2 linked regions of the Anolis sagrei genome follow. The protein of the gene in region 1 purifies or fractionates together with the protein of each later gene. This does not show direct contact. Links are inferred from orthologs where the notes say so. Each region holds a gene or a part of one and is shown on either strand. Other genes may lie near its edges.

Region 1 (15,791 bases):
CAGAGCACAAGCAACTGTCACGTCAGCCAGCGTCACAGCTTCCCCCACCAGGTATGTCCGGAGTTTCAGGTGACCGTCCAGCACCCCAAGGAGATTTCGCAGTTCTGCCAGAGCACGATCAGTCACCTGTGCAGGAGGAGAGAGTGAAACAGGATTTATATACAGAACACAGCCTTCACTGGTATCAATGCTTAAATTGTGTTCCCCCTCTCAAACTATTTATGATATTCACTTGCTTGATTCATTCATCTTTCTTCTAATGAGCTCAAAGCAGCAGACATGACTCTGTTTCTCCCCTCTACTTCCTCACAACTCTGCAAGGCATCTACACTGGCATATCATGCAGTCTGAAACTGCATTTTATGGTCAGTGTAGACCAGGCATGGGCAAACTTTGGCCTTCCATGTGTTCTGGACTTCAACTCCCACAATTCCTAATAGCCTGGCGTAGACTCATATAAGGCAGTTCAATGCAATTAAACTACATGACAAGCCTACACTCACCATACAACACAGTCTCAAAGTGCATTATATGGCAGCATAGATGGTGCTTTAGTGTGAAAAGGGACAACATTGATTAAGGTGAGCCAACAAGCTTCATGACTCAGTGGGGAGCAAAAGACCAGTCATCACTTTAATCTTTACACAACAGTGTAGAGTACATCTTATGAAGTAGACCTAGCTGACAAAAACATCTCTCTCAATCTCAAAGATGCTACAAGATTCCTTTGCAAACTGATATTCTAGTCTAACACAGCAATATCTTTGGATTATACAGCAGTGGTTCTTATTTCATTATATTTGTATCACACTTTTTCTTTCAACTGTGAAATTCTATTGAAAATTATAGACTTCTTCAAGCCTCCCCTAGTAATTTGTTTGTATATAATCCTGCTGCTTACTTATTGTACATATGTTCTGATATGCAGCTATCTTTCCTTTGCTTTATGTTTCTAATGCTTCTAGAACATGGCCATATAGCCCAAAAAACCTCACAACAACCCATAAAACAAGTTGTTTTATAGGAGAGTAGACGTATTTTTGGGCAACTGAAAAACACTTCTGAAGCACTGCTATTTTGTGCAGGCATATCCTCTGTTTCCTAACAGATCAGACACAACAGGTTATCAGTCTAACAACTGAAAGGTAAATTGCCTTGAATAATTACATCTGGTCATGTACCACTTGTGAGGAGATTCTTCTCAAATGGGTTTCTGGCTCTTCTCTAAAAGGTCATGCTTTTCCAAAAGGTTATGATCTTCAAATGATTATGAATGCCATTTTCCAAAAATATTCATTGAGTAACTGCAGTGCACTACATCAGCAAGACGCACATCTCCCAGTGCTTACCTGTTTATTTTGCTTGGAGACCCCCAACACTGAAAAAGCCGCTGCACAAGCAGCAGGAGCCACTTCCAAGTTGGCGAAGCTGATCCACTGCCGGATCAAGGCACTGGCTTCAGGACCTTGCCCTCTCAAGGCATCTGAGGAGAGGAGGAAAGAGACAGCCGCAGGCCCAGACACATAGATGCCAGCTTGCATCTCCAGAGCTGGGAGCTTGGGGATGGAGATGGAAGGGTTCTCCAGCTCCGTGTCAGGGGGCAGATTGACCACCTTGGGCTCGTGATGGCCATAACGGGCTGCAACAAGCACACAAAGATTCTGGAAGTTGTCAGGATGTGGGGAAAGATATAGGGTTGGCATGGCGAGGAGACAGTGTGTCCTGCAAACAAAGAACAAGGAAGAGTTAGAGATGAAGGATCAGCCCTTGAGACACAGATCCTTATACATATAGTATATCTGGCAAGCCAGAGGCACCCCAATCTGGTTTGGTCCAATAGGGAATACTTAAATTATGACAACCACAAGCTTTATTACAGACCCAGGCAGCTCGAACATCGAAGATATTCAAGTGCATACAGATTAATACACTGGTTAAAACACAAGAAAATACAAGGTACATATGGATTAATGCAAAGGCTAGTTTCAGCTTGAGTCTAGAGCAGCAAGATTTATTATCCTGGCTACCCCTGAGAGAAACTTGGTAATGTCCAAAGGCACACGAGGAAGATTATCTTCCAGTAAAAACTTGACATAGAATTCAGCTGACCTACCAGGTAGGTTGCACGGCAATGGGTTAATAATATGTTGTTGAGCCTGCTTGCAAAAGCTTCGGGACAATCATGTGTGTTTCACACATTCTACTTCCTTCTTGTATGATATAGAACACTTGCAAACCTGCCTCAAAGCATTCCTGAGGGGAATATGTGACATCTTGCTTTGGTAAATAGGCAGTATTTGGCAATAGTCAGATTCTTTAGATAACACTATGTAACACACGTTTTGTTCCTGGGTTATAAATGTCATTTCCAAATTGGTTCTATCATGAAAACATGGGAAAGATTTCTTAAACTGCAAAAACTTTGTTTTTGCAGGACATCCTGCAGTACATTATGCTATAGTTTTTCAATGAGCATCTCACAGAGTTGTGACCATTTCAACATAGTTTGTGGCAACCACAAAAATGAAGTTTCTGGAGTATAACAACTACCTTCAAATTAAGTACTGCACAATTAAACAGGAAATAAGACTTACAAACCAGGAACAGAAAATTGGCTCTGTGGAGTGGTCCTGTGTAGTGTATACACAACATACTAGGGCAGTGATGGGCAACCTTTTGAGCTTGGTGTGTCAAAATTTGCCAAAAACCTGAGCATAATTTGGGTGGAGTGTCACTTTGAGAAAAAAAACCCCATAATTTTGCAATATTTATAGTTTAAATAAGAAAAATGTATAATCCATGCTGAGTTATGGAGTGAACTATGCTCAAATGTGCAGTTGTTAAATTTGAGAGCCTTTTACAAATTTAAAGATGGAATTAGATTGGCTCTTATAAGGTGTATTTCTCTGTATGTGGCCACATGTGTCTGCGTGTCATCAAAAATAGCCATGCGTGTCAGTGCTGACACGCGTGTCATAGATTCACCATCATGGTACTAGGGGAACAAGAAACATATGAGTTGGATTACAACTTACAGAAGGCAATGTCCCACAGTTTTCGCTTGGTTTAAGTGCCAAGTCAAAACCTAGGCGAGTTAAAATTAATGCAGAAAGGCTAATGGAAGAGGCATTTAAAAAAAATAACCCTAGACCATCAACCTGTATACTCATCCTGAGATAGATGGTAAATTTGACCTGGACACAAACCAAAAACACTAATCTTGAGTCAGTATTTAAGAGCCAACCACCAAGCTTCCAAATTCTAGCAGCAAGATGCAAGTTGGAACACAACTGGAGAACTGAAAGAGAGCCGTCAAGAAAATTAATTGTTGCTTGTTTAGCTGAGATGTTAAGCCCTCAATCCAAATATTGGAAGCATACAACAGCTGGGAGGCTGTCTTAGCTCTAAAAACTTTAACAGCAGATGGTATATACTAACCTCATTTGGTTAGACTAAAGTGCAAGATGGCTAATCTGCTTACTTGAGCTTTCTGAGAAGTAGCAGATATATGAGAGGTCCAGGACATTATGTGACAGAAAGTCAACCCCAGGTATTGGAAGTTTCTAGCCTGTTCTAAATTATGCCCATTGAGTGACCATCGGCATGGGGAAATTTAAAAAAAAACCAGAACTTTAGATTTCCCATAGTTGCACCGGGACTGTGACGCAGCTGTCTGAGTGTCAGCTCCATTAAGATCACTTCTGACCAAAAGGTCATGAGTTCAAAGTGAGCCCGGGTGGGAGTGAGCTTCCAACCAATAGTGTAGTTTGTTGTCGACCTTTGCAACCCGAAAGACAGTAGCATCTGTCAAGTAGGAAAATTAGGTACCACCTATGTGTAGGGAGGCTAATTTAACTAATTTATGAGGCCATAAAAAAGATTTCAGCAAAGCACTCCAGCAAAAAAGCATGCGGGGAATGCAGAAATACTTCATCAGTCGCAGATGGACGATGAAAGCGACAGCTCCCCTGGCGGCCAGAAAAGTTAAATAGCCTCTGACTGTCTATATCTGTTGTATGTCTTTGGCATTGAATGTTTGCCATATATGTCTACACTGTAATCTGCCCTGAGTCCCTTGCGGGGTGAGAAGGGCGGAATATAAATGCTGTAAATAAAATAAATAAATAGTTGATTTTTAAGTCGTCCTGTGAGCAATAATTTCAAGAGGGATCAAACTGTCACTTAGCTCCCATCCTGTCCTGTTTTGCTCTTAAAAAAACAGCCTCAATACAAAATTGAAAGTAAAAGAAAAATGCTTTACACCAGCAAACAAAATAAGCAAATGCAATTGAAAAAGAAAACAAGGAAGTCTTACTACAGACACCAATGAAAGTCTTTTGAAAAATTCCCAGCAAAATCAGCAGACAATAAGGCACAGATCACAAAGTCTTCAACACAAAGCAGGTTACGACAGTAACAGAGTTGCTGTTAGCAGCAAAAAGCTAAGTTCTCCTGCTTCTGATTTATACTCCACACAGGAGGGCTTACGGTGTCACCCAATTAGCTCATCAATCTTTTAGCAGCTGACCGCAGCCTGTTCTCTGACTCCCTCTGTCTTTCTACAAAAGTAGGCACCTGCAAAACCTCATTGTCGGATTCTTCTTCCTCTCCCTCCAAGACTTGAGCACCTCCCTGCTCCCCTTCCTCTTCCGACGAGGAATCCCCAACACATCCACCCTGATATATAAAATCCAGATTATCTGCTTTGAGTTGGATTATATGGCAGTGTAGGCTCATATAATCCAGGTCAAAGCAGATAATGTGAATTATCTCCTTTGATAATCTGTATTATATGGCAGTATAGAAGGGCCTAGGAAGATGCAATATTCAGCATATCTTTCAGTGATGCATCCGTTTCTTTTTTTTAAGGTGAAAAGAGGAACTCAATGACTCAAGAGGAACAAAAGCCAGTGTTTTCTCCACCTTTCCTGAATGCATGCTATATGTCTGTGTAGAGAATAAATATAAACACTGTGCATGATAGTTATATTATGCTGAGAGAAGAGAGTTAGTGAAAATACTTCTGCAGTGCCATATGGGGAAAAGACGGTGTCCCAAGAGATAGGAGGAGGAAATGTTATTACCTCAACTATCTGAATCCAGGAAAGAAAGGAATCTAATTTTTCAGGAACTCTCCTAAATTTGTTCTAAATCATTATTTTTATGCTTGAGATGCTATCCAGATGGCTCTAGGACTCGGGTATCTTTTCTATAATACAGTGCATCAAAACTGCTGAATAATTGCAATTTGATACCATGGTTCAATGTTTGGGAATCCATGATTTTTTATTTGATGAAGCACTATCTCCCTTTGGCAAGAAGACTGAAACCTTGTAAAACGACAACTCCCAAAATTCCATAGCATTGAGCCAAGGCAGTTAAAGTGGAGTTAAATCTACATTAATTCTATAGCATAAATGCACCCTTAGATCTTCAGGCATTAGGATAGAGGTCCCAAGGAGTATTCTATGAAGGATAAAATATTCCCAGTTTTTTTTATATACAGTCATCCCATAACAAGCTTGCTCCCGCCTCCCTATGATGTCCCCCCCCCCACACACACATGTTTATAAATGGCTCTCATCACGTCTCTTCTCAATCTTCTCTACTGCAGCTAAACATGCCCAGCTCTTTAAGCCGCTCCTCATAGGGCTTTTTCTCCAGACCCTCCTCTTGACACATTCCAGCTTGTCAACATCTCCCTTGAATTGCAATGCCCAGAATTGGACACAGTATTCCAGGTGTGGAATTTGAATATTATGACTTGTTGTGGAAACAAGGATGGGTGAGAAAGCTTCAATGGAGATACCTTTTCCCCATGATAACTCCCCCAGGAATAAAATTCCCTTCCTATAAGTCGATTTCTCTCAGTTCTTGTTGTCTCACCCCCGTTCTTAACTATAAGTCAGATGTCTGTAACTTGGGGATTGCCTATATTTGTATGTGTCCTTTCAAGTCTGACTGTGGACTCATCACTAACTATTAATTTTGTAAGTTTTTCTCAGGCAAGGAATATTCAAGATGTGGTTTTGCCCGTTCCTTCTTTTGAAACACACTACAGCAGGCATGGTCAAGCTTTGGCCCTCCAGGTGTTTTGGACTTCAACTCCCACAATTCCTAACAACCCATGCCTGCACTACAGCATCCTTGCAAGGGCGAAATAGAGCTGACCCTGCTTAGTTGCAAGATACTCCACTTAGGCAGAAAAAAAGAAATGCAAAGATACAGAATGGGGGAGGCGTGTCTCGAGAGCAGTACGTGTGAAAAAGATCTTAGAGTCCTCGTGGACAACAAGTCAAACATGACCCAACAATGTGATGCGACGGCAAAAAAAAAAAGCCAGTGGGATTGTGACCTGCATCAATAGGAGTATAGTGCCTAGATCCAGGGAAGTCATGCTACCCCTCTATTCTGCTTTGGTTAGACCACACCTGGAATACTGTGTCTAATTCTGGGCACCACAATTGAAGAGAGATATTGACAAGCTGGAATGTGTCCAGAAGAGGGCAACAAAAATGATCAAGGGCCCGGAGAACAAGCCCTATGAGGAGCGGCTTAAAGACCTGGGCATGTTTAGCCTGAAGAAGAGAAGGCTGAGAGGAGGTATGATGAGGGCCATGTATAAATGTGGGAGAGGAAATCATAGGGAGGAGGGAGCAAACTTGCTTTCTGCTGTCCTGGAGACTAGGACACGAAGCAGGAAAGGAGATTCCATCTGAACATTAGAAAGAACTTCCTGACTGTGAGCGCCATTCAGCAGTGAAACTCTCTGCCCCGGAGTGTGGTGGAGTCTCCTTCATTGGAAACTTTTAAACAGAGGCTGGATGGCCATCTGTCAGGGGTGTTTAGAATGCAATTTTCCTGCTTCTTGGCAGGGAGTTGGACTGGATGGCCCATGAGGTCTCTTCCAACTCTAGGATTCTATGAAAGGAGATTCCATCTGAACATTAGGAGGAACTTCCTGACTGTGAGAGCCGTTCAGCAGTGGAACTCTCTGCCGCGGAGCGTGGTAAAGGCTCCTTCTTTTGGAAGCTTTTAAACAGAGGCTGGATGGCCATCTGTCGGGGGTGCTTTGAGTGCATTTTTCCTGTTTCTTGGCAGGGGGTTGGACTGCATGGCCCATGAGGTCTCTTCCAACTCTATGATTCTATGAAAGGAGATTCCATCTAAACATTAGGAAGAACCTCCTGACTGTGAGAGCTGTTCAGCAGTGGAACTCTCTGCCCCGGAGTGTGGTGGAGTCTCCTTCTTTGGAAGCTTTTAAACAGAGGCTGGATGGCCATCTATCGGGGATGCTTTGAATACAAATTTCCTGCTTCTTGGCAGGGGGTTGGACTGGATGGCCCATAAGGTCTCTTCCAACTCTAGGATTCTAGTTTCAAAGATCTGACAAGATCTGGATTCTTTAAAGTGACAACTGGGAATTAATGTCTACACTGCATATTTAATGCAGTTTGACACCACTTTGAGTGCCATCTCTCAATGGTATGGAATCCTGGGCGTTGTACTTTGGTGGGGAAGGAATAACTAAAGACCTTACAAACTGCAACTCCCAGGATTCCATAGCACTGAGTCTTGGCAGTTCAAGTGGTATCAAATTGCATTAATTCCACTGTGTAGATGCACTCAGAGCTGCAATGAACTGCAAAGGGAAGAAGCAGGAAATCCAAGTCTCTTGGAAGTAGAGAAAAGAGTTGACAGCACAGGCTAAAGAAGGGGAAGTACTTATTGAATAGTTGGGAGGGTCCCAGCAGGGAATGGGGACAGGAAGGGCTTCCTTCTTACCTGCACTGCCAGCCGGTCCCAGCCTCTCCCCCACGTGCTGCTTTTTCTTTTGGAGGAAGGACCCCTTCTGTAGGCGTCTACAGCAATGCCTGTCTCATGTATCTACAAGCAGGAGGAATACTAGGTGCGCAAAGTTAAGGAAACAGCACTGTAATAACCCTGTGCCTTTGAGTAAATTTACACTGTAGAAGTAATGCAATTGAATACCGCTTCCTCTCCTAGAAGGAAGGAGAGCCTTCACTCCTAATGATTACAAACCAGTTGCATCATGCACATTCGAGTGAATGGGGATTTATTTTTTTTCACAAAGGCAGTTGCTTAGACAGCCCTTCGCAGGGTCCTCTTCTTATTGGTAGGAGTGACAAAAAGTCTAAAACTGACCACAGAGAAAAACAGTTAGAGTGATACAGATGCAGAACTTCCGGGCAAAGTTCTCTTATTAGGAGACTATTAGCCCATAAATGTATATAGTGAGATTTCTCAACATTGATATCTCTGTGATAAACACTATGGAAAATAGCTATGATTCTTCATCTTGTTGATGGGAAGCTTCTCACCAGAGTGGAAATCATCTATCAGACAGATGGCAAGCTATTTAACCTCAGCAGACTGAAAGCCAAAACCAAGGTTACAACATGTGTTATAGAACTCCAGTATGCTGATGACAACGTCATCTGTGCGCATTCAGAAGAAGACCTAAATCCATGATGGTCAACCTATGACACGTGTGTCAGCACTGACACGCATCGCTATTTTTGATGACACGTGGCCACATGCGGCCACAGACAGAGAAGTACACCTTATAACAGCCAATCTAATTCCATCCTTAAATTTGTAAAAGGCTCTACAAATTTAACATTTGCACGTTTGAGCATTGTTCACTCCATAACTCAGCATGGAATATACATTTTTCTTATTTAAACTATAAATATTGCAAAATTATGTTGTTTTTTTCTTGAAGTTGACACCCCACCCAAGTTATGCTCAGGTTTTTGGCAAATGTTGACACACCAAGCTCAAAAGGTTGCCCATCACTGACCTAAATGGTTCTGGTCCAGTTTACCTGTACGAACGTATCTCCCGCTACGATCCACCTACGGCCCTAAAATCATCCAGGGAGACCCTGCTCATTGTCCCCCCATTGTCGCAATCACGTCTGGTTGTGACAAGGGATATTTTATTTATTTATTTACAGCATTTCTACCCCGCTCTTCTCACCTCCTCATGGGAAGTCAGAGTAGCTAACAATGGCAACGATTCGATGCCACAATAATTACAATTATAATAGCAAAATAAAATCATACAATATAATACATTAAAACAATGTTAGTTATCCAATCATAAAGGCAGTTCCATTATAACAACCGTCTAGTCCAATTCACTGTTCAGGTGCTGTTATATCCATTAGCCAAAAGCCTGGTTCCTTCTCTGTGGTGGCCCCTCAGCTATGGAACTCCCTCCCAAGTGAAATTAGATCTTCTGCATCCCTCTTGACCTTCCGGAAACAAGTGAAATCCTGGCTAGATTAGGTTGAGTTGCTGATATGACGACTTTTATAGAACTGACTGATTGCCCCTTGGATGATGATTCAAACTGCTGACTGCTGGATTGTTTTATACAGTTTTATTGCCATATTGCTGTTAAATTGTATTTTTATGTTTCTGGTATGGGCACCATGGGGTGCCGTTTTGTTAGCCGTCCTGAGTCCCTCTGCGGAGGTTGAGACTGGATGGTATATAATAAATAAATAAATAAATAAATAAATAAATAAGCCACTCTAAACACCTTCGCAGAAGCATACAAGAAGCTCAGCCTGTCACTGAATATCGAGAAAACCAAAGTGCTCTTGCAGCAGTCATCAGCCAATCCCTCTCCAATGCCAAAAATACAGCTTAATGGTGAAACATTAGAAAATGTTGACCATTTCCGCTACCTTGGCAGCCACCTCTCCACATTCGACACTTAAATACAACACCGCCTGAGCTCTGCAAGTGCAGCATTTTTCCGAATGAAGCACAGTGTTTGAGGACCTGGACATCTGTAGGGATACCAAGGGGCTTGTTTATCAAGCCATTGTCCACCCAACCCTGCTATACACCTGCGAGACGTGGCCTGTCTACAGACGTCACATAAGACAATGGATTTCCACAATCACAACAAACACAAATCCACTACAAGTCATAGTACATAAACCACAAAGGTAATTTTTTTTCAGCTTATATAATGCAATATTAAACTTATAATCAACTTATATGATATCATATAAGTTGGTTATAAGTTTAATATTGCATTATATAAGCTGGAAAAAAACATTTACCTTTGTGAATTATGTACTACGACTTGTAGTGGATTTGTGTTTGTTGTTACAGACATCACATGCAACTCCTGGTACGATTCCATCAGTGTTGCCTCCAGAAAATCCTGCAAATCTCTTGGTAAGACAAGCAGACAAATGTCAGTGTGCAGGAAGAAGCAAGACCACCAGCATTGAAGCGATGGTCCTCTGCCATCAACTCCGCTGGACCGGCCACGTTGTCCGGATGCCCGACCACCGTCTCCCAAAGCAGTTGCTCTACTCCAAACTCAAGAATGGAAAACGGAATGTTGGTGGGCAGGAAAAGAGATTTAAAGATGGGCTCAAAGCCAACCTCAAAAACTCTGGCATAAGACACGGAGAACTGGGAAGCCCTGGCCCTTGAGCCCTCCAGCTAGAGGTCAGATGTGACCAGCAATGCTGTAGAATTTGAAGAGGCACAAATGGAGGGAGACAGAGAGAAATGTTCCAAGAGGAAGACACGTCAAGCCAATCCCGACCGGGACCGCCTTCCACCTGGAAACCAATGCTCTCACTTCAGAAGATGCAGATCAAGAATAGGGCTCCACAGTCACCTACGGACCCACCGCCAGTACATCGATCTTGGATGACAATCCTACTCGGACTACAAGGGATTGCCTAAGTAAGTAATAAACACTATGCGTGATTAGCAGGGCTTTTTAAAAATACTGTGGTGTGCAATCATAGAATAATATGGTTTGGCCCACTCTTTTTGTTTCCCATGTTCCCCAGCTAAACAAGACCAATGGCAAAGTGATTTTTTTTTCGTGTCAAGAGTGACTTGAGAAACCGCATGAAAAAAATGTATTCCTGGTTTGAAAAAGTTATTTCCTGTTTAAGTATGTGGTACTTACTTTGAAAATTGTTGTTATAGTCCAGAAACTTCATTTTTGTGACTGCCACAAAGTAAGGTGAATTGATTGAGACTCGAGATATTCATTGAAAAACTATAGCAAAATGTGCTGCAGGATGTCTTGCAAAAACAATTTTTTGAAGTTTAATAATCATTTTCCTTGTTTTTAAGATCAAACCAATTAGGAAATGACATTTATAACCCAGGACCAAAAATCATGTTGCATAGTGTTGTATTTTCTAGCAAGTCAATCCTTCTTATGATATGCTTTTTGTTTTTTTGTCATATCAGGAGTGACTTGAGAAACTGCAAGTCGCTTCTGGTGTGAGAGAATTGGCTGTCTGCAAGGACGTTGCCCAGGGGACGCCCAGATGATTTGATGCTTTTATCATCCTTGTGGGAGGCTTCTCTCATGTCCCCGTATGAGGAGCTGGAGATGATAGAGGGAACTCATACGCCTCTCTCCAGATTCAAACCTGCAACCTGTCGGTTTTCAGTCCTGCCGGCACAGGTGTTTAACCCACTGCGCCACCGGGGACTCCATATGATATGCTGAAAGTGCAGCACTCTCTGTTTTGTCATCCTGGCTTCTAGGGAGAGCTGCCTCAAACTACATAAGCTGGCTTTAGCACAGCAGGTTAATCGCCAGCTATAGCTGCAATAAATCTTGGTTGCCAACCAAAAGGTTGACAGTTCAAAGCTGGGTCAGGGTGAGCTCCTGACCTTCAGCCCAACTACCCGCCCAACGAGCAGATCAAAAACAGCAAATAGTAGATAAACAGGAACTGCATTAAAGTAGGGAGGTATTTTAAGCACAGTTTTTCAATCAGAGAAAAAAGAAGAAAAAAGTTTACCAACGAAGAATGCTCTTCAGCAAGGAGATGGAGCGACAACATCCCCCTGTGGCCGGAACTGAGCACAGCCTCCAAAGATGCCGAAAAGATAGGGAAAAGCTGATATAATACTACTATCTGTTGCCTGTCTTGTCATTGTATAATCGACATTGAATATTTACCGAATATGTGTTCTCTTATCCACCCTGTGTCCCCTTTGGGATGAGAAAGGTGGAATATAAATACTGTAAATAAATAAGCAAAGGAAAAATGTGTGTTCTATACATATCCATAATTCTCTATATTTGAAGGTGAGCATTTGCAGATTTGATTAGTCGTGTCTTACCGTTAATCATTCAATTAGAGGGCCTAGGCATTTCTAGGAAGTATTCTCTCAGAAAACAATAAGTGTCTGCAACATCTATTTATATCCATTGTTTATATGATATTGTGCCTATCTTTGATACTCAGAGCAACTAGTCTTTCAAATTCAACATTTTATTCTTCCATAGTTTAAATGTTACATATTTCTTTTTCAAAACATCCCTTGTAAATACAAAAAAGTCATCCCACACACCCCTGGATGGAAATCACTAGGATAACAAAACTTCAGAAGCATGAATATGGGTTGTTTCACTCTTTTTGCAGGAACAAAACCAATGAAGAAGCAAACTTCTCTTGCTTCAGAAAGATTGTGGATCTAGGTTTCTAGTATCCTCTAGAGCCCCAAAAGACAAAAATATTTGAATGTATCACTCTTATTAAGAGATTACAGGTGTACATTGGATGGAATAAAATAAGGTTATGGGACCGAAATGATGTTGGCACCAAAGGTTCTGCAAGAGTCCTTCAGCACGTTTTGAAATTATCAACAAAAAGGGTGGTATATCCACTGACAAAATCTCTAATGACTTCAAACACTTCCCAAAATTACCTTTTTGAGGTTAGACAAGAGAAAGCTGGAAAGAGCTTGTAGCCAAAAAACAGTCTAGCTTTTAGCCATCCTTTGTGACCATTGTATAGAAGAGGAAGACTAAAGCAATCTCCTCCAACTAAGGCTCCTTCAGATGTGTTGAGCTACAACATTCACAACATTCTCCATTTTAGCTCAAAGGAGTGTTGCAATTGTATCCCAACATTCCTGGAGGACAACTGGGAGGATGTATTCCAGAAATGTCTGCATGCATTTCTTTTATATATTAATATGGAAACAGACCTTTGCTGGGAGATACTTTTTCAGCAGCAAACAGTGCTACAGAAATGAAATGCTGAATGGGACGGAGGGAGAGTTCGGTAGAAAAACAAAAATTGAGCTACTGGCAATAGGAGCTTAGAAAAACAAAAAGCACTGGTATTATCCCAGTAATGGGTCTCATCCATGTAGTGGAAACAGAAAACAATATTCCCCCACTAGAGTTGCCTCTGGGAGGGACAAAAGAAATGGAAAATATTCACAAGGATTTTCTCACCCAACAGTACACTTGAATGTACCCACATACACACGCATATACACATACACTGCTGGTTCCCTCCCATAAAGAAGCTGGTCTAGCTTTCCTCCAGCACTTCTGGGTGGAAATTAGGGTGGGAAGGGAGTAAAAAGAAGGAAACTGTCACTGCTTCTGCTGGAGGGCCTCCTTTCGTGCGGCATCCTGCAGAAGTTGGGTGTCGACTTCATCAGCTGGAAGCTGAACATAGCGAACAACAGAGCCACGGATGAAGCAGTTCTTGACAGACAGCTGGTCGGAGGAAGAAAAGATGCATTTTGTTTGTTATTGTGATATTTTTTGTTTGTTCAGAACAGTGAAACTACCTTTAAATAATGTCTTCATTTTTATGTCTTGCCCTGAAAGGTAGCACACAGAGATCTACATGAGCTTGCATAGTGGTTTGAGTGCTAGATTAGGATGCTACCCTGTAGAATTAATGCAACTTGACCCCACTTTAATTGCAATGGTTCAATGCTATCGGAACTGCAATTTGGTGAGGTGCCGGCACTCTTTAACAAAGAAGGCTAAAGATTTTACAAAACAACAAATCCTATGATTCTATAGCATTCAGCCATAACAAAGTGGGATCAAACTGTATTCATTCTACAGTATAGATCAGGCATGAGCAAATTTGAGCCCTCTATGTATTTTGGACTTCAACTCCTCCAATTCCTAACAGCCTACTCACTGTTTGGAACTGTGGGAGCTGAAGTCCAAAACACCTGGAGGGCTCAAGTTTGCCCATGCCTGGATGTACCACAGGATTCAAATATCCAGAGCCAGGAAAAATCACTAGGTTACTTTAAAAAAAGGAGACCCCGGTGGTATAGCGGGTTAAACCACCAAGCTGCTAAACTTGTTAACCAAAAAAAAATCGGCGGTTCAAATCTGGGGAGTGGGGTGAGCTCCCGCTGTTAGCCTCAGAAGCAACCACAACTCCCATCAGCCTAGGTGTAAGACTCACCATATGAGGGTATTTTTCTGGATCTGTTACACTGATGTCTGTGAGCTTGATATTCAGGTACTGTATTTCAAGAAAAGGAAAGAGAAGTGTATATAAGGACATAATAAACCCCTTTCTGCAATGTTTTTTTCACAGATGCAAGCCACCACTTGACACTCAAAACAGGCAAAGCAGCGGAATAGATAACATGGAACTATGAATGATAAACATGGAATGACCAGATGATGTTACTTGATTACATTTTTAACAAGATGACACAGATGATTATATGTTTTAACTGTTTTTATTTGTGTTTTATATTGTAATGTTGTTTGTTTTTAATGGCACTTTTATGAATGCCTGACATTGAATTGTGCCAATCTGTATCCCGCCTTGAGTTGCTGTATGGCTGAGAAAGGCAGGCTATAAATATCATAAATAAAATAAATGTGTAAACCCAACAAAGCCACATGCATTCTCCAGAAGGGAAGAAGAATTGGCTCAATCGTACCTGATCCACGGAGTGCAGGGTCCCACATATGCTGTATTTAAGGGAGGAAAAAGAAAGCAAAGACATTATTGAACATTAGAAAGGATACAGAATAAGGAAACTCCGAGCAATATGTCCCTAAATGCACTTTATCAATGATCTAGGATTGTTTGCATGCCCTTTCCTCTCCGAAATTCTATCCTTGTTATATATTTCACCTGGTCATGCTCAGAATTATTTAAAAAAAAATTAATTATTACATTTGGCCCAGACATAGGTTTTTAAGCGTTGTTGTGCTATTGTTAATGTTTACTGCTTGTTTTTTGTTTATGAGTTTCATTTTATTGTTTTGTATTGCTGTTGTTGTTTTTGCTGATGTATTGTGGGCTGGGCCTCATGTAAGCCGCACCGAGTCCCTTGGGGAGATGGTAGTGGGGTACAAATAAATTATTATTATTATTATTATTATTATTATTATTATTATTATTACATGGGTTCTTTAAGTTTGATCTAAATCAAGGCCAGTTCTGTCATTAGGCAAAGTGAAGCAACTGACTCAGTTAGTGCTTACTGGAGGCAAATTGTGGCTTCTTTGAAGATGGAAAAGGCAGAGAAAATGGGTTAGGAACTGACAGTTCATTATCTTGCTCCCACCCCAAAAAAGCAAAACTTCCTTTGCAAATAAGAGACCTACCTCAAGTCATTCTTCAGTTCAACCACTACGTCCTTCCCTACCAGGGACTTGAAGAAGGAGTAGAAGAGCTGTAGCCAGGAAGAAGGGACAATGTAAACAAAGAAGTAAAAAAGATAATGCACTCAAAGACAAAGTAAAAACCTCATAGTCTCCTTGCACTGCCCAGCAGGAAACACCACGTGCTTCGCAGGGCTTGGAAAAGTTGCTTGTCTGCAGCACTGGGTGTAGAATTAATGTAATTTGACATCACTGTGGCTTAATGCTATGGGGTCGTGAGAGTTGTAGTTTCACAAAGCCACTAAAATGATCCCTATGAGGAGTGGCTTCAGGAGCTGGAAAAGTTCAGTCTGAAGAAGAGAATGACATGA
Region 2 (15,802 bases), on another chromosome or scaffold:
CATGCAATGATGGAACTGGACCAAACTTGGCACGAATCCTCAATATGCCCAAATGTGAACACTGGTGGAGTCTGGGAAAAATAGATCTTGACATTTGGGAGTTGTAGTTGCTGGGATTTCTAGTTCATTACAATCAAAGAGGATTTTGAACTCCACCAACGATAGAATTGGCTCCAACTTCCCACATGGAATCCCCATGACCATCAGAAAATACTGTTTTTTCTTATGATCTTTGGCGACCCCTCTGACACCCCCTCGCGACCCCCTCAGGGGTCCCGACCCCCAGGTTGAGAAACACTGAGCTAGTCTATAATAATTTTAATAATAATAATAGCAGCAGCCTCGGCCCCTCACCTGTTTGTAGAGCCAAAGGAGGGTGCAGACCACGGTGATGTCGGCCAAGGTGACCCGCTCGCCCACCAGGAACGTCCGGGTCTTGAGGTGGGAGTCCAGGAGGCTCAGGATCCGCTTCACTTCGTCCTTTGCACTCTCTGTGGCCTGTCAAGGGAGGACGACAAGGACTGGCAACACTTCATCAAATGCATCACATAACATTAAATCAAATCTCTCGTTACATCTAGGATAGACTACTGCAACGCACTCTATGTGGGGCTGCCTTTGAAGACTGCTCGGAAGCTTCGACTAGTCCAACGAGAGGCAGACAGATTACTAATCTGGGCGGCATACAGGGAGCACACAACTCCCATGTTATGCCAGCTCTACTGGCTAACTGTTTGCTTCTGGGCGCAATTCAAAGTGCTGGCTTTGGCCTAGAAAGCCCTAAACAGCCCCGGCCCAAATTACTTGTCCGAACGCATCTCCCCCTATGAACCATCGCGGAGATTAAGATCCTCCGGGGAGCCCCTGCTTTCCGTCCCACCATTCTCACAAGGACGAGAGACGGGGTCTTTTCGGTGATTGCTCCCCGGCGATGGAACTCCCTTCCTGGTGAGATCAGGTCGGCCCCCTCCCTCCTGTCCTTTAGAAGGATGGTCAAAACTTGGCTGTGGGACCAAGCTTTCAGGACAATAGGAAAGATGGCCAGGCAATTGGATTTGACACAAATGGCTAGGACGGTTTTAAATGGTGTATCTATATAAATAAAAATGTAATGTTCGTTTGTGGGATTAAGATAACTCAAAAACCACTGGACGAATGGACACCAAATTTGGACACAAGACACCTCTCAGGCCAACGAGTGACCATCACTCATCAAAACACTGAAAAACACAGCGGAAGGGACTTAAAAAGCCAAAAATTAAAAATTACATGACAATCCATGCACAAAACCACAAATATACACAAACACACATACACAAATAAATATACACACATATATGCATATATACACACACAAAACACAGAAAGGGGGAAGGAAGGAAGGAAGGAAGGAAGGAGAGAAAGGTAGAGAAGGAAGGAGAGAAGGAAATAAAAAAGTGAAAGAAGGAAGGAAAGAAGGAAGGAAAGAGAGAAAGAGGGAGCGAAGGAAGGAAGGAAAGAAACTGGTAGAGAAGGAAGAAAAAGGGAAAGAAGGAAAAGAAAAAGGGGGAAAGAAGGAAGGAAAGAGGGAAGGAAGGAGAGAAGGAAGGAAAGAGAGAAAGAGGGAGCGAAGGAAGGAAGGAAAGAGAGGATGGAACCAAAGAGCAAAGGAAGGGAGGAAAGAAACTGTTAGAGAAGGAAGGAAGAAAAAGGGAAAGAAGGAAAAGAAAAAGAGGGAAAGAAGGAGAGAAGGAAGAAAAGAGAAAGAGGGAGGGAGGGAAGGAAGGAAAGAGAGAAGGAAGGATGGAACCAAAGAGCAAAGGGAGGGAGGAAAGAAACTGGTAGAGAAGGAAGAAAGAAAAAGGGAAAGAAGAAGGAAAAGAAAAAGAGGGAAAGAAGGAAGGAAAGAGGGAAGGAAGGAAAGAGGGAAGAAAAGAGAGAAAGAGGGAGGGAGGGAAGGATGGAAGGAGAGAGAAAGAACGATGGAACCAAAGAGCAAAGGAAGGAAGGAAAGAAACTGGTAAAGAAGGAAGAAAGAAAAAGGGAAAGAAAAGAAAAAGAGGGAAGGAAGTAAAGAGGAAGGGAAGGAAGGAGAGAAGGAAATAAAAAAGTGAAAGAAGTAAGGAAAGAGGGAGAGAAGGGAGGAGAGAAGGAAATTAAAAAATGAAAGAAGGAAGGAAAGAGGGAGGGAAGGAAGGAAGGAAGGAAAGAGGGAAGGGAGGAGAGAAGGAAATAAAAAATGAAAGAAGGAAGGAAAGAGAGAGAGAAGGAAGGAAGGATACAGAGAGGGAAAGAAGGAGAGAAGGAAGAAAAGAGAGAAAGAGGGAGGGAGGGAAGGTGAGAAGAAAGGATGGAACCAAAGAGCAAAGGAAGGGAAGAAAGAAACTGGTAGAGAAGGAAGAAAAAGGGAAAGAAGAAGGAAAAGAAAAAGAGGGAAGGAAGTAAAGAGGGAGGGAAGGAAGGAGAGAAGGAAATAAAAAAGTGAAAGAAGGAAGGAAAGAGAGAATGAAGGAAGGAAGGAAAGAGAGAGGGAAGGAAGGAGAGAAGGAAGAAAAGAGAAAGAGGAAGGGAGGAAAGAAACTGGTAGAGAAGGAAAGAAGAAAAAGGGAAAGAAGGAGGAAAAGAAAAAGAGGGAAAGAAGGAAAGAGGGAGGGAGGGAAGGAAGGGAGAAGAAAATATCTGAGTGACCATCACTCATAAAAACACTGAGAAGCATAGTGGAAGAGAGTTTAAAAGTCAAAAAACAAAAATTAAAATACAACACATGCGCAAAACCACAAATACACACATATATATACACACAAAACACATATACACGGACCGGGCCACAGCAACGCGTGGCAGGGGATGGCTAGTTTGATATAAAGGCGATGGTGTATGGTGCGGACTTTACCTGCTTGTTGTAATGCATGATGCCCAAGGTTGGGAAGACCCAGGTACTGGCGGGAGGCACAATATCGCTGTCGGCAAAGCTCACCCACTGGAGGACCTGGGCGGCCGCCTCTTTGGTGGCTCCTCGCAGCTCTTCGTTGCTGACTGAAGGAATGAAGGAGACGGTCACCACAATAGGCCTTGCTTGGATTCCTGAGCTGAATTCCCACAAACTATAAATCCCCCTTTATGGAGGTAATGACAAAGACACATGGGGGAATACTGTTACCGTAGTGTGCAATGGCGTTGCTCTCAAACACGCAGAACCCATCGTCCCCTTCAAAAGCTGGGACCTACAAAGAAAGAGCTGTCGTAAGCCACCAAAGGGATGTAAACAATGACGCTAAGTCTCCCAGTGCTCCCAAGAATACGCTTCCCAGTCTTGACAGGTCCCAGCTCCATCCCAGAGACCCACCTTCCCAACTGGGAATTTCTTCAGGAACTCGGGGGTCTTGTTGGTCTGCCCGAAGTGGAACTGGGGCGGGCTGGAGAGGACCTTGATCTTGGCGCCGCTGTACTGGGCCGCAATGAGGACCTTGAAAGCCCGCCAGTTTTCGGGGTAAGTGTAGAGAGTCTGCAGAAGGATAATATTAATATTATTATTATTACTATTACTATTATTTTACTGACACCAAACCACAGTATGTCACAGCAAACGAGATCTATATGCTGGATTTCCTATCACAAAATCACAAGTCGAACACTTCCCAAGCATCTAGGACTGTGTGATGTATACATATTTATTATTATTATTATTATTATTATTATTATTATTATTATACCCCACTTATTCTCTTCACAAACAAGACCCAAAGAGGTTATGTATCTATTATTAGTATTATCATTTATTATTTATTATTTATTAATTTATTATTTATTATTATTATATTATATTATTATAAAGGAGAGAAAGAGGGATGAAAAGAAAAAGGGGGAGGAAAGAAAGAGGTAGAGAAGGATGGAAGAGAAGGTAAAAAAAAGGAAAGGAATGAAAGAGGTAGAGAAGTAAGAAAGGAGAGAAAGAGGAAGGGAAGGAAAAAAGAAAAGACAAGTATGGATAGAAGCAAAAAGCAAAGGAAGGAAGGAAAGAGGTAGAGAAGGAAGAAAGGAGAGAAAGAGGAATGAAAAGAAAAAGGGGAAAAGAAAGAGGTAGAGAAGGAAGGAAGAGAAGGTAAGAAAAAGGAAAGGAAGGAAAGAGGTAGAGAAGGAAGAAAGGAGAGAAAGGGGGAGGGAAGGAAAGAAGGAAAGACCAAAGTATGGATAGAAGCAAAAAGCTAAGGAATTTATTATTATTATTATTATATTATGTTTATACCCTGCTTATTCTCGCCACAAACAAGACCCAAATTGGCTACGCATCTATTATTAGTTTTAGTATGCATTATTATTACTATTATGTTTATACTCTGCTTATTCTCTCCCCAAACAAGACCCAAAGTGGCTATATATCTATTATTATGTTTATATCTATTATTAGTATTAATATGTATTATAATTATTATTGTTTATACTCTGCTTATTATCTCCACAAACAGTGGCTATGTATCTATTTTTAGTATTAGATGTATAATAGTAATAGCAATTATAATTATTATTGTTTATATTCTGCTTATTCTCTCCCCAAGGAAGACCCAAAGCAACTATGTATCTATATTAGTATGTATGTATTATTATGTTTGTACTCTGCTTATTCTCTCCCCAAGGAAGAACGAAAGTGCCTATGTATCTATTATTATTATTATTATACCTGCTTTTCTCTCCAGAAACAAGACTCAAAGTGGTTATGTATCTATTATTATTATGTTTATACCCTGCTTATTTTCTCTACAAAAAAGACCCAAAGTGCCTATGTATCTATTATTATTACTATTATTATTATTATTATTATTATTATACTCTGCTTATTCTCTCCACAAGCAAGACCCAAAGTGCCTATGTATCTATTATTATTATTATTTATCTATTGTTATTATTATTATTATGTTTATACGCTGCTTACTCTCCACAAACAAGACCCAAAGAGGCTATGTATCTATTATTATTATTATGATGTTTATATCTATAATTAGTATTAGTATTATTATTATGTTTATACTCTGCTTATTCTCTCCACAAACAAGACCCAAAGTGCCTATGTATTATTATTATTATGTATTATTATGTATATATTATTATTTTTATACTCTGCTTATTCTCACCACAAACAAAACCCAAAGTGCCTATATATCTATTATTATTATTATTATTATGTATATATTATTATTATTATTATTATTATTATGTTTATACTCTGCTTATTCTCTCCACAAACAAAACCCAAAGTGCCTATATATCTATTATTATTATGTATATATTATTATTATGTATTATTATGTATATATTATTATTATTATTATTATTATTATGTTTATACTCTGCTTATTCTCACCACAAACAAAACCCAAAGTGCCTATATATCTATTATTATTATGTATATATTATTATTATGTATTATTATGTATATATTATTATTATTATTATTATGTTTATACTCTGCTTATTCTCACCACAAACAAAACCCAAAGTGCCTATATATCTATTATTATTATGTATATATTATTATTATGTATTATTATGTATATATTATTATTATTATTATTATTATTATTATTATTATTATTATGTTTATACTCTGCTTATTCTCTCCACAAACAAGACCCAAAGTGCCTATGTATCTATTACTATTACTATTATTATTAGGGATGAGGGGAAGGACAAGAAAGACATGAAAAGGAGCAGAGGAACAGGATGATGGGCAATGTAGTCCCACAATGGCTAGCAATACAAAGTATTAGACAGCAAAAGGAACAGGATGATGGGCAATGCAGTCCCACAATGGCTAGCAATACAAAGTATTAGACAGCAAAAGAACAGGATGATGGGCAATGTAGTCCCACAATGGCTAGCAAGACAAAGTATTAGACAGCAAAGGAACAGGATGATGGGCACCAGATTGCCCCAAGGCTTCTCAGTCCCAGTTGTCACAACAGGCCAAAGAACAGCCTGCAAGCTTGGGCCCTCTGAGTGTTTGGGACTACAACTCCCATCATTCCTCGCAGCCTCAGGCCCCTTCCTTTTCCCCCTCAGCCGCTTAAGGAATGATGGGAGTTGTAGTCCCAAACACCAGGAGGGCCCAGGGGGGAAAGGAAAGGGCCTGACGCTGTGAGGGATGATGGGAGTTGTAGTCCCAAACACCTGGAGGGCCCAGGGGGGAAATGAAAGGGCCTGAGGCTGTGAGGAATGATGGGAGTTGTAGTCCCAAACACCAGGAGAGCCCAGGGGGGAAAGGAAGGGGCCTGAGGCTGTGAAGAATGATGGGAGTTGTAGTCCCAAACACCTGGAGGGCCCAGGGGGGAAAGGAAAGGGCCTGAGGCTGTGAGGAATGATGGGAGTTGTAGTCCCAAACACCTGGAGGGCCCAGGGGGAAAAGGAAAGGGCCTGAGGTTGTGAGGAATGATGGGAATTGTAGTCCCAAACACCTGGAGGGCCCAGGGGGGAAAGGAAAGGTCCTGAGGCTGTGAGGAATGATGGGAATTGTAGTCCCAAACACCTGGAGGGCCCAGGGGGGAAGGAAAGGGCCTGAGGTTGTGAGGAATGATGGGAATTGTAGTCCCAAACACCTGGAGGGCCCAGGGGGGAAGGAAAGGGCCTGAGGTTGTGAGGAATGATGGGAGTTGTAGTCCCAAACACCTGGAGGGCCCAGGGGGGAAAGGAAAGGTCCTGAGGCTGTGAGGAATGATGGGAATTGTAGTCCCAAACACCTGGAGGGCCCAGGGGGGAAAGGAAAGGTCCTGAGGCTGTGAGGAATGATGGGAGTTGTAGTCCCAAACACCAGGAGTGTCCAAGCTTGGGCCCAAGCCTGCTTCTAGACTCCCTCCACTCCACTGAGGCCTAAGAAGCCACTTCGACGTGGATAGAGTGACCCGACACTCCCCCCCGGAGGCCCTTCTCGCCCCCATTTCTCGCCCTTCATCCGCTTCCTCGCCCCCATATAGGCCCCAAAACCTCCGCCGGGGTCCCCTCTCCCCACTCGTCCCGCTTCGGGGCCCCTCCGTGGCTCCCCGGCCCCGATGGAAGCGGATGGAGGCCGGCTCCCCCTCCGGAAAGCGAGCTCACCCCGGCCGCCGCCATCTTCGCGAGGAGAGGAAAAGGAGGAGCGTCGCACGGCGCGGCCGTAAAGCGCAGCAGTGCGACATTCCCCGCCGGCCTCTTCTGTGACGTCACCAGAGAGAGAGAGGCGGGGCCTTGCGGAGGAGAAATGCCCAAGGAAACATAGAGCTAGCCAAAAAATAGTAGACAACCATCACCCTCAATCGGAGAGGGAGTTTCCGGGTTGCTCAGAAATTCTTTCCCAGAAACGCCCAAGGAAACATAGAGCTAGCCAAAAAATAGTAGACAACTATCACCCTCAATCGAAGAGGGAGTTTCCAGGTTGCGCAGAAGGAAATGCACAAGGAAACATAGAGCTAGCAAAAAAAGTAGTAAACAACCATTACTCTCAATTGGAGAGGGAGTTTCCAGGTTGCTCAGAAAGAAATGCCCAAGGAAACATAGAGCTAGCCAAAAATAGTAGACAACCATCACCCTCAATCAGAGAGGGAGTTTCCGGGTTGCTCAGAAAGAAATGCCCCAAGGAAACATAGAGCTAGCTAAAAAATAGTAGACAACCATCACCCTCAATCGGAGAGGGAGTTTCCGGGTTGCTTATAAATTATTTCGCAGAAATGCCCAAGGAAACATAGAGCTATCCAAAAAATGGTAGACAACCATCACCCTCAATCGGAGAGGGAGTTTCCGGGTTGCTTATAAATTATTTCGCAGAAATGCCCAAGGAAACATAGAGCTATCCAAAAAATAGTAGACAACCATCACCCTCAATCGGAGAGGGAGTTTCCCGGTTGCTCAGAAATCCTTTCCCAGAAATGCCCAAGGAGACATAGAGCTAGCCAAAAAATAATAGACAACTATCACCCTCAATCGGAGAGGGAGTTTCCGGGTTCCTCAGAAATCCTTTCCCAGAAATGTCCAAGGAAACATAGAGCTAGCCAAAAAATAGTAGACAACCATCACCCTCAATCGGAGAGGGAGCTTCCGGGTTCCTCAGAAATTCTTTCCCACCATATGGTTACAGTCTTATTATTATTGGTACATATTATTATTATTATTATTATTATTATTATTATATGTTACATTACATTATGTTACATTGTTATAGTGCTATTACTGGAATATTATATTATTATTATAATTATTATATTATTATATTATGTTACATGGTGAAAGTGCTATTATTGGTATAGTATTATTATTATTATTATTATTATTATATTATATTGCATTGTTGTAGTGTTATTATTGGAATATTATTATTATATTATTATATTATTATTATATTATGTTACATGGTTAAAGTGCTATTCCTGGTATATTATTATATTATTATTATATTATATTGCATTGTTGTAGTGTTATTATTGGCATATTATTATAATATTATATTATGTTACATTACATTATATTACATTGTTATAGTGATATTCTTTGTATATTATTATTATATTATTATATTACATATTATATTTATATTATTATATTATATATTATATTATACTATATTTCATTGTTATAGTATTGGTATATTATTATTATTACATCACATTACATTATATTACATATTACATTGTCATAGTGGTATTATTCGTAGATTATTAGAATATAATATTATATTATGTGACTTACATTATATTACATTGTTATAGTGCTATTCTTGGTATATTATTATAATATTATTATTATATTATATTGCATTCTTATAGTGTTATTATTGGCATATTATTATAATATTATATTACGTTACATTACATTATATTACATTGTATGTTTTGCATGTTTTGATATGGTCAAAATTGACTAATCAATAAAGAATTGTTGTTGTTGTATATTACATTGTTGTAGTGCTATTATTGGCATATTATTATAATATTATTGTATTATATTACATTATGTTATACTACATTGTTATAGTGCTATTATTGGTATATATAATAATAATAATAATAAATAATAATCTTAAATCGGCATATTATTATAATATTATTGTATTATATTACATTATGTTATACTACATTGTTATAGTGCTATTATTGGTATATATAATAATAATAATAATAATAAATAATAATCTTAAATCGGCATATTATTATAATATTATTGTATTATATTACATTATGTTATACTACATTGTTATAGTGCTATTATTGGTATATATAATAATAATAATAATAAATAATAATCTTAAATCGGCATATTATTATAATATTATTGTATTATTTTACATTACGTTATATTACATTGTTATAGTGCTATTATTGGCATATTATATAATCATAATAATAAATCTTATTATTTATTATAATAATAAATAATTATTATATTTTTATATTATATTATACATATTATTATATTTATAATAAATAATATATTATGAAGGTGGCTCCCTCCACCTTCCTGACTGTTTACACAAATCTCAGCACGCAATCAAAGATAAGAATCCCCGTAAAAGTCCAGAGAGCGAAGGCTGGGCTTCCTCCTCCTTCTTCCTCCCGGAGAAGAAGACGGGCCACCAACCGTGCCCTGCCCAGTGGTCATAAACAGGGGTTGTCCTTGGTCTTGAGGCAGGTTCCAGCCTTCCTTTGGCAGGTTAGATCTTCCCTTCCTTTCTCAAAGGAAGACCTGGAGAAGCGGAAGAGAACGAAAAGCCAAGGGAGACGTATCATCTGGGAGGCCACCACCCATGGAGGAGCATTCCTTTTGGTGATCCAGCGGGCAACGTGGTCCAAACCAAAGTATCTTTTGGAGAAGATGGAGGCCAGGAGGGATCTGGAACTCAAGAACCAGACCTCCCTTGACCACAGCGTTTGGAATTGGTCCTCCGTTGGTGCCTTCAATGAGGATGAAGACCTTCAGATGCCTTCTGACGTTGCCTTTGGCTTGCGGATGACCATCGTCGTGGTCTATGCGTTGGTCTGTGCCATGGGGCTGTTGGGAAACGCGTTGGTGATGTACTTAATCCGAGCACAGAAGATCCGCCCCGCGCCGGCCATTAATATCTTCGTCTTTGGCTTGGCGGCGGCCGACTTCCAGTTCTCCTTGACCCTTCCCTTCTGGGCAACCGAGATGGCGCTGGACTTCAGCTGGCCCTTTGGCATAACCTTATGCAAGATAGTCCCATCGATGACCGTCCTCAGCATCTACACCAACGTCTTCTTGCTCACGGCCATGAGCGTTGCCCGCTACCAGTTGGTGGCTTCAGCCATCAAGGATGGTTCCAGAATCACAATGCGCGTGGCCAAGTGGACAACGTTGGCTCTTTGGGTCTTAGCCATGGGAGCCACCATTCCGACCATGATCTACACCTCTGTGGTGGACGTCCTTGGGGTGGAAATCTGCGTTTTCAAGTTCCCGTCGCCGTTTTGGTTGGGCGCCTACCAACTCCAGAGGGTGGTCTTCACCTTCGTGGTGCCATTAGTGGTCATCTTGACCTCCTACCTGCTCCTCCTGAGGTTCCTCCACGTCCGCCGTGTCTCCGGTGAGAACTCAAAGAGGCGGAAACAAGTCATGGCTACGGTCGGCTTAGTGGTGGGGTGCTTCTTCGTCTGCTGGTTCCCCAACCACGCCGTGACCTTTTGGGGCATCCTAATCAAGTTCAAGGTGGTCTCTCTGGGGAAGGCCTTCTACGTCGTCCACACGTACTTTTTCCCCATCTCCACTTGCTTGGCTCACGCCAGCAGTTGCCTCAACCCGGTCCTATACTGTCTGATGCGCCGTGAATTCCGGGAAGCCCTCAAAGACACCTTCCGGAGGTTCTCCTCCTCCGTGGCGAACTACCAGTACTTCTCTTCTCACCGGACGCTGGAGGAAGTCGTGGTCCTGCCCTTGAACCGCAGGAGTCCAAGCGAACAGTAGGGTTTCCCCACCTTCTCTGGATCCCAGGACTCCAAGGAACGTGAGGTTGAGAGGATACCAGGGGTTGGGTGTCTACAAACTCCAGAGGGTGGTCTTCATGGTCCCATTAGTGGTCATCTTGACCTCCTACCTGCTCCTGAGGTTCCTCCAAGTCCGTCGTGTCTCTGGTGGGAACACAAGTCAAGTTCCTAGTCAAGTTTGAGGTGGTTTCTCTGAGGAAGACCTCCTACATTGTCCACACCTACTTTGCTTCTCACCAGACGATGGAGGAAGTCGTGGTCCTGCCCTTGAACCGCAGGAGTCCAAGCAAACAGTAGGGTTTCCTCTGGATCCCAGGACTCCAAGGAACGTGAGGTTGAGAGGATACCAGGGGTTGGGTGTCTACAAACTCCAGAGGGTAGTCTTCATGGTCCCATTAGTGGTCATCTTGACCTCCTACCTGCTCCTGAGGTTCCTCCAAGTCCGTCGTGTCTCTGGTGGGAACACAAGTCAAGTTCCTAGTCAAGTTCGAGGTGGTCTCTCTGAGGAAAGCTTCCTACGTTGTCCACACCTACTTCTCACCAGAAGCTGGAGAAAGTTGTGGTCCTGTCCTTGAGCCGCAGAAGTCCAAGCGAACAGAAGGAGGGTTTTCCAACCTTTTCTGGATGCCTGGACTCCAAGGAACGTGAGACGATACCAGGGGTTGGGCGTCTACAAACTCCAGAGGGTGGTCTTCACCTTCGTGGTCCAATTAGTGGTCATCTTGACCTCCTACCTGCTCCTCCTGAGGTTCCTCCAAGTCTGTTGTGTCTTTGGTGAGAACGTCTACCAACCCCAGAGCTTGGTCTTCACCTTCATGGTCCCATTAGTGGTCATCTTGACCTCCTACCTGCTCCTCCTGAGGTTCCTCCAAGTCCATCGTGTCTCTGGTGAGATTGTCTACCAACTCCAGAGCTTGGTCTTCACCTTTGTGGTCCAATTAGTGGTCATCTTGACCTCCTACCTGCTCCTCCTGAGTTTCCTCCAAGTCTGTTGTGTCTTTGGTGAGAACGTCTACCAACTCCAGAGCTTGGTCTTCCCCTTCATGGTCCCATTAGTGGTCATCTTGACCTCCTACCTGCTCCTCCTGAGGTTCCTCCAAGTCCGTCGTGTCTCTGGTGAGAACGTCTACCAACTCCAGAGGGTGGTCTTCCCCTTCATGGTCCCATTAGTGGTCATCTTGACCTCCTACCTGCTCCTCCTGAGGTTCCTCCAAGTCCGTCGTGTCTCTGGTGAGAACGTCTACGAACTCCAGAGGGTGGTCTTCCCCTTCATGGTCCCATTAGTGGTCATCTTGACCTCCTACCTGCTCCTCCTGAGGTTCCTCCAAGTCCGTCGTGTCTCTGGTGAGAACGTCTACGAACTCCAGAGGGTGGTCTTCCCCTTCATGGTCCCATTAGTGGTCATCTTGACCTCCTACCTGCTCCTCCTGAGGTTCCTCCAAGTCCGTCGTGTCTCTGGTGAGAACGCAAGTCAAGTTCCTAGTCAAGTTCAAGGTGGTCTCTCTGAGGAAGGCCTTCTACGTTGTCCACACGTACTTCTCTTCTCACCAGACGCTGGAGGAAGTTGTGGTCCTGTTCTTGAGCCGCAGGAGTCCAGCGAACAGTAGGGTTTCCCGACCTTCTCTGGATGCCAGGACTCCAAGGAACGTGAGGTTGAGAGGATACCAGGGGTAGAAATGCCAATGTGACCCCAAAAGAAACATGGAACTTGAAGGCATTTGGGTAGGATCACAGTTGGAAGAGGATCCAAGCACCAAACCATGCTCCAGGGCAAAGTTTCTGAAGGACACTGGTTCATTGTTGCATCCTTTGAGGAAACAACAACAACAACAATAATTTTATTGGGATGCTGGGAGTTTTTCTGGCTATATGGCCATGTTCCAGTAGCATTATCTCCTGACGTTTCGCCTGCATCTGTGAGAGGTCTGTTGGAAGTAAGGCAAGTGGTGTGCTTGTGTGTGTATATATACATATATCTCTCTTTGGGAGAAAGAAAACTTATCTGTGCATTGACTTGCCATGCAGCTGCAAAGTCAATCAGTGAGGGCATCGGCATAGGGGTCACAAGTGGAGTGTATATATATATATATATATATATATATATATATATATATACCTGTGGAATGATGTCCAGGGTGGGAGAACAAACCCTTGTCTATTAAAAGCCAGTTTGGATGTTGCAATGAGCAAGCTTGAATAACATTGAGTAGCCATGAAGCTGCAAAGTCAATCAATGAAGGTATCTGCATAGAGGTTGCAAGTGGAGTGTAGATATACCTGTGGAATGATGTCCAGTGTAGGAGGATGAACCCTTGTCTGTTGAAGCAAGGATGTTGCAATGAACAAGCTTGAATAACATTGAGTAGACATGAAGTTGCAAAGTCAATTGGTGAGGGTATCTGCATTCAGGTAGCAAGTGAAATGTATATACCTGTGGAATATGTCTGGAGTGGGAGGACGAACCATTGTCTGTTGAAGCAAGTGTGGAGGTTGCAATGAGCAAGCTTGACTAGCATTGAGTAGCCATAAAGCTGCAAAGTCAATCGGTGAGGGTATGTGCATTGAGGTAGCAAATGAAGTGTATATATAACTATCTGTGGAATGTCCAGGGTGGGAGAATAAACCCTGGTCTATTTAAAGCCAATGTGGATGTTGCAATGAGCAAGCTTGAATAATATTGAGTAGCCATGCAGCTGCAAAGTCAATCAGTAAAGGTATCTGCATAGAGGTAGCAAACGAAGTGTATATACATATATCTGTGGAATGATGTCCTGGGTGGGAGGAAGAACCTTTGTCTGTTTGAAGCAAGTATGGATGTTGCATTGAGCAAGCTTGAATAGCATTGAGTAGCCATGCAGCTGCAAAGTCAATCAGTGAGGGTATCTGCATAGATATGGCAAGTGGAGTGTATTAATAATAATAATAATAATAGTAATAATAATAATTTACTCTCTTGAAGTGTGTGTGCTGCATTGAGCAAGCTTGAATAGTATTGAGCAGCCATGCAGCTGCAAAGTCAATCAGTGAGGGTATCTGCATAGATACGGCAAGTGGAGTGTATTATTAATAATAGTAGTAGTAATAATAACAATTTACTCTCTTGAAGTGTGTGTGCTGCATTGAGCAAGCTTGAATAGCATTGAGTATCCATGCAGCTGCAAAGTCAATCAGTGAGGGTATCTGCATAGATATGGCAAGTGGAGTGTATTAATAATAATAATAATAATAATAATAGTAATAGTAATAATTTACTCTCTTGAAGTGTGTGTGCTGCATTGAGCAAGCTTGAATAGCATTGAGTATCCATGCAGCTGCAAAGTCAATCAGTGAGGGTATCTGCATAGAGGTAGCAAGTGGAGTGTGGAATGATGTCCAGGGTGGGAGGATGAACCCTTGTCTGTTTGAAGCCAGTGTGGATGTTGCAATGAGTAAGCTTGAATAGAACTGAGTAGATATGAAGCTGCAAAGTCAATCAGTGAGGGTATCTGCATAGAGGTAACCTGGCCCCTGTTGCCTGGAGGCACCCTCAGTTTGAGAGGTGTCTGGGGTTCCCCTTTCTGAGTGGAGTCCTTTATTTAACTGTATTATTTTGCCGACAGGTGGAATGTTCGTGCCATTGACGGCTTTAGTGTTCATGCAAAACAGCCCGTAAAGTCTGAAGGTCGCAATAAGTTTTGTTTCTTGCCTTCCGGCCTCCAAGTTTTACGAGAGGCGAACCCTTTGATCCTAGTCTGTGTACAATATTTGGAATGGAAACAGAACCAGGTGAGTTGCTGTGAGTTCTGGCCCTGTTCCAGAAGCACTCTCTCCTGACGTTTCGCCCACATCTATGGCAGGCATCCTCAGAGGTTGTCTGTTGGAAACTAGGCCAGTGGGGTCTATATATCTGTGGAATGGGGTCGAGTGTAGGAGAAAGAATTCTTGTCTGGCTGCTTGGGGGAATCCTTTGTTGGGAAGTGTTAGCTGGCCCTGATTGTTACCTGCCTGGAATCCCCCTGTTTTCTGCAAGGCCGTTCAATACTATTCAAGGTGGCTGATGGCAACATTCACACAGAGTTCTGGACATAATTCCACAGGAAAATATACAGTCTCTTGCTTCATTTCCAACCGACTTCTATGCAAATACCCTCACTGATTGACTTTGCACCTGCAAGGCCATTCAATGCTAATCAAGGTGGCCGACGGCAACACTCACGCAGAGTTCCGGACATCATTCAGCAGGAAAATATGCAGTCTACTTGCCTAATTTCCAATAGATCTCTATGCAGATACTCTCACTGATTGACTTTGCAGCTGCAAGGCCATTCAATGATAATCAAGCTGACCAATGGCTACATTCACATTTGTCTCCAACATACAACAGTTCCTTCTCCCACCCTGGTCATCATTCCACAAATATATAAACCCCACTTGACTAGTTTCTAACAGACTTTATGCATATACCCTTACTGGTTGACTTTGAAGTTGCAAGGCCATTCAATGCTAGACAAGGTAGCCAATGGCAACATTCGCACTTGCCTCCAACAGACAAGAGTTCTTTCTCCCACCCTGGACATCATTCCACAGGGATATTTACAGTCTACTTGCCTCATTTCCAATAGATCTCTATGCAGATACCCTCACTGATTGGATTCCCTCGGGCAGGAAGCAGTGAGTCTTTGCAGCTGCAAGTCCATTCGGTACTAATCAAGTTGGCCAATGGCATCATTCACACTTGCCTCCAACAGACAAGAGTTCTTTCTCCCACCCTGGACATCATTCCACAGCGTTATATACAATCTACTTGCTTGATTTCCAATAAATCTCTATGCAGATACCCTCACTGATTGACTTTGCAGCTGCAAGGCCATTCAACACCTGCCTCCAAC

What was found.
Region 2: the proteins of VARS1 (region 1) and EEF1G purify together in Homo sapiens (affinity purification with mass spectrometry; 6 studies listed by BioGRID and IntAct, counting the BioPlex papers as one, with this or other methods). This does not show direct contact. The link is inferred for Anolis sagrei from reciprocal best matches to the Homo sapiens genes VARS1 and EEF1G.

The regions. Positions count from the first base shown.
Region 1 is NC_090022.1:21,191,417-21,207,207, forward strand, and holds the start of VARS1 (valine--tRNA ligase), read right to left. Parts: upstream 7,895-15,791; 5' UTR 7,786-7,894; intron 1,723-7,785; 5' UTR 1,704-1,722; coding exon 1,350-1,703; intron 127-1,349; coding exon 1-126. Other genes in the region: U6 snRNA-associated Sm-like protein LSm2, read right to left, coding at 13,420-13,545, 14,261-14,320, 14,751-14,781, 15,424-15,491. UniProt on the Homo sapiens protein: Catalyzes the attachment of valine to tRNA(Val).
Region 2 is NC_090032.1:21,208,811-21,224,612, forward strand, and holds the start of EEF1G (elongation factor 1-gamma), read right to left. Parts: upstream 7,174-15,802; 5' UTR 7,081-7,173; coding exon 7,066-7,080; intron 3,485-7,065; coding exon 3,326-3,484; intron 3,204-3,325; coding exon 3,140-3,203; intron 3,016-3,139; coding exon 2,873-3,015; intron 499-2,872; coding exon 355-498; intron 1-354. Other genes in the region: RXFP4 (relaxin-3 receptor 2), read left to right, coding at 9,433-10,914. UniProt on the Homo sapiens protein: Probably plays a role in anchoring the complex to other cellular components.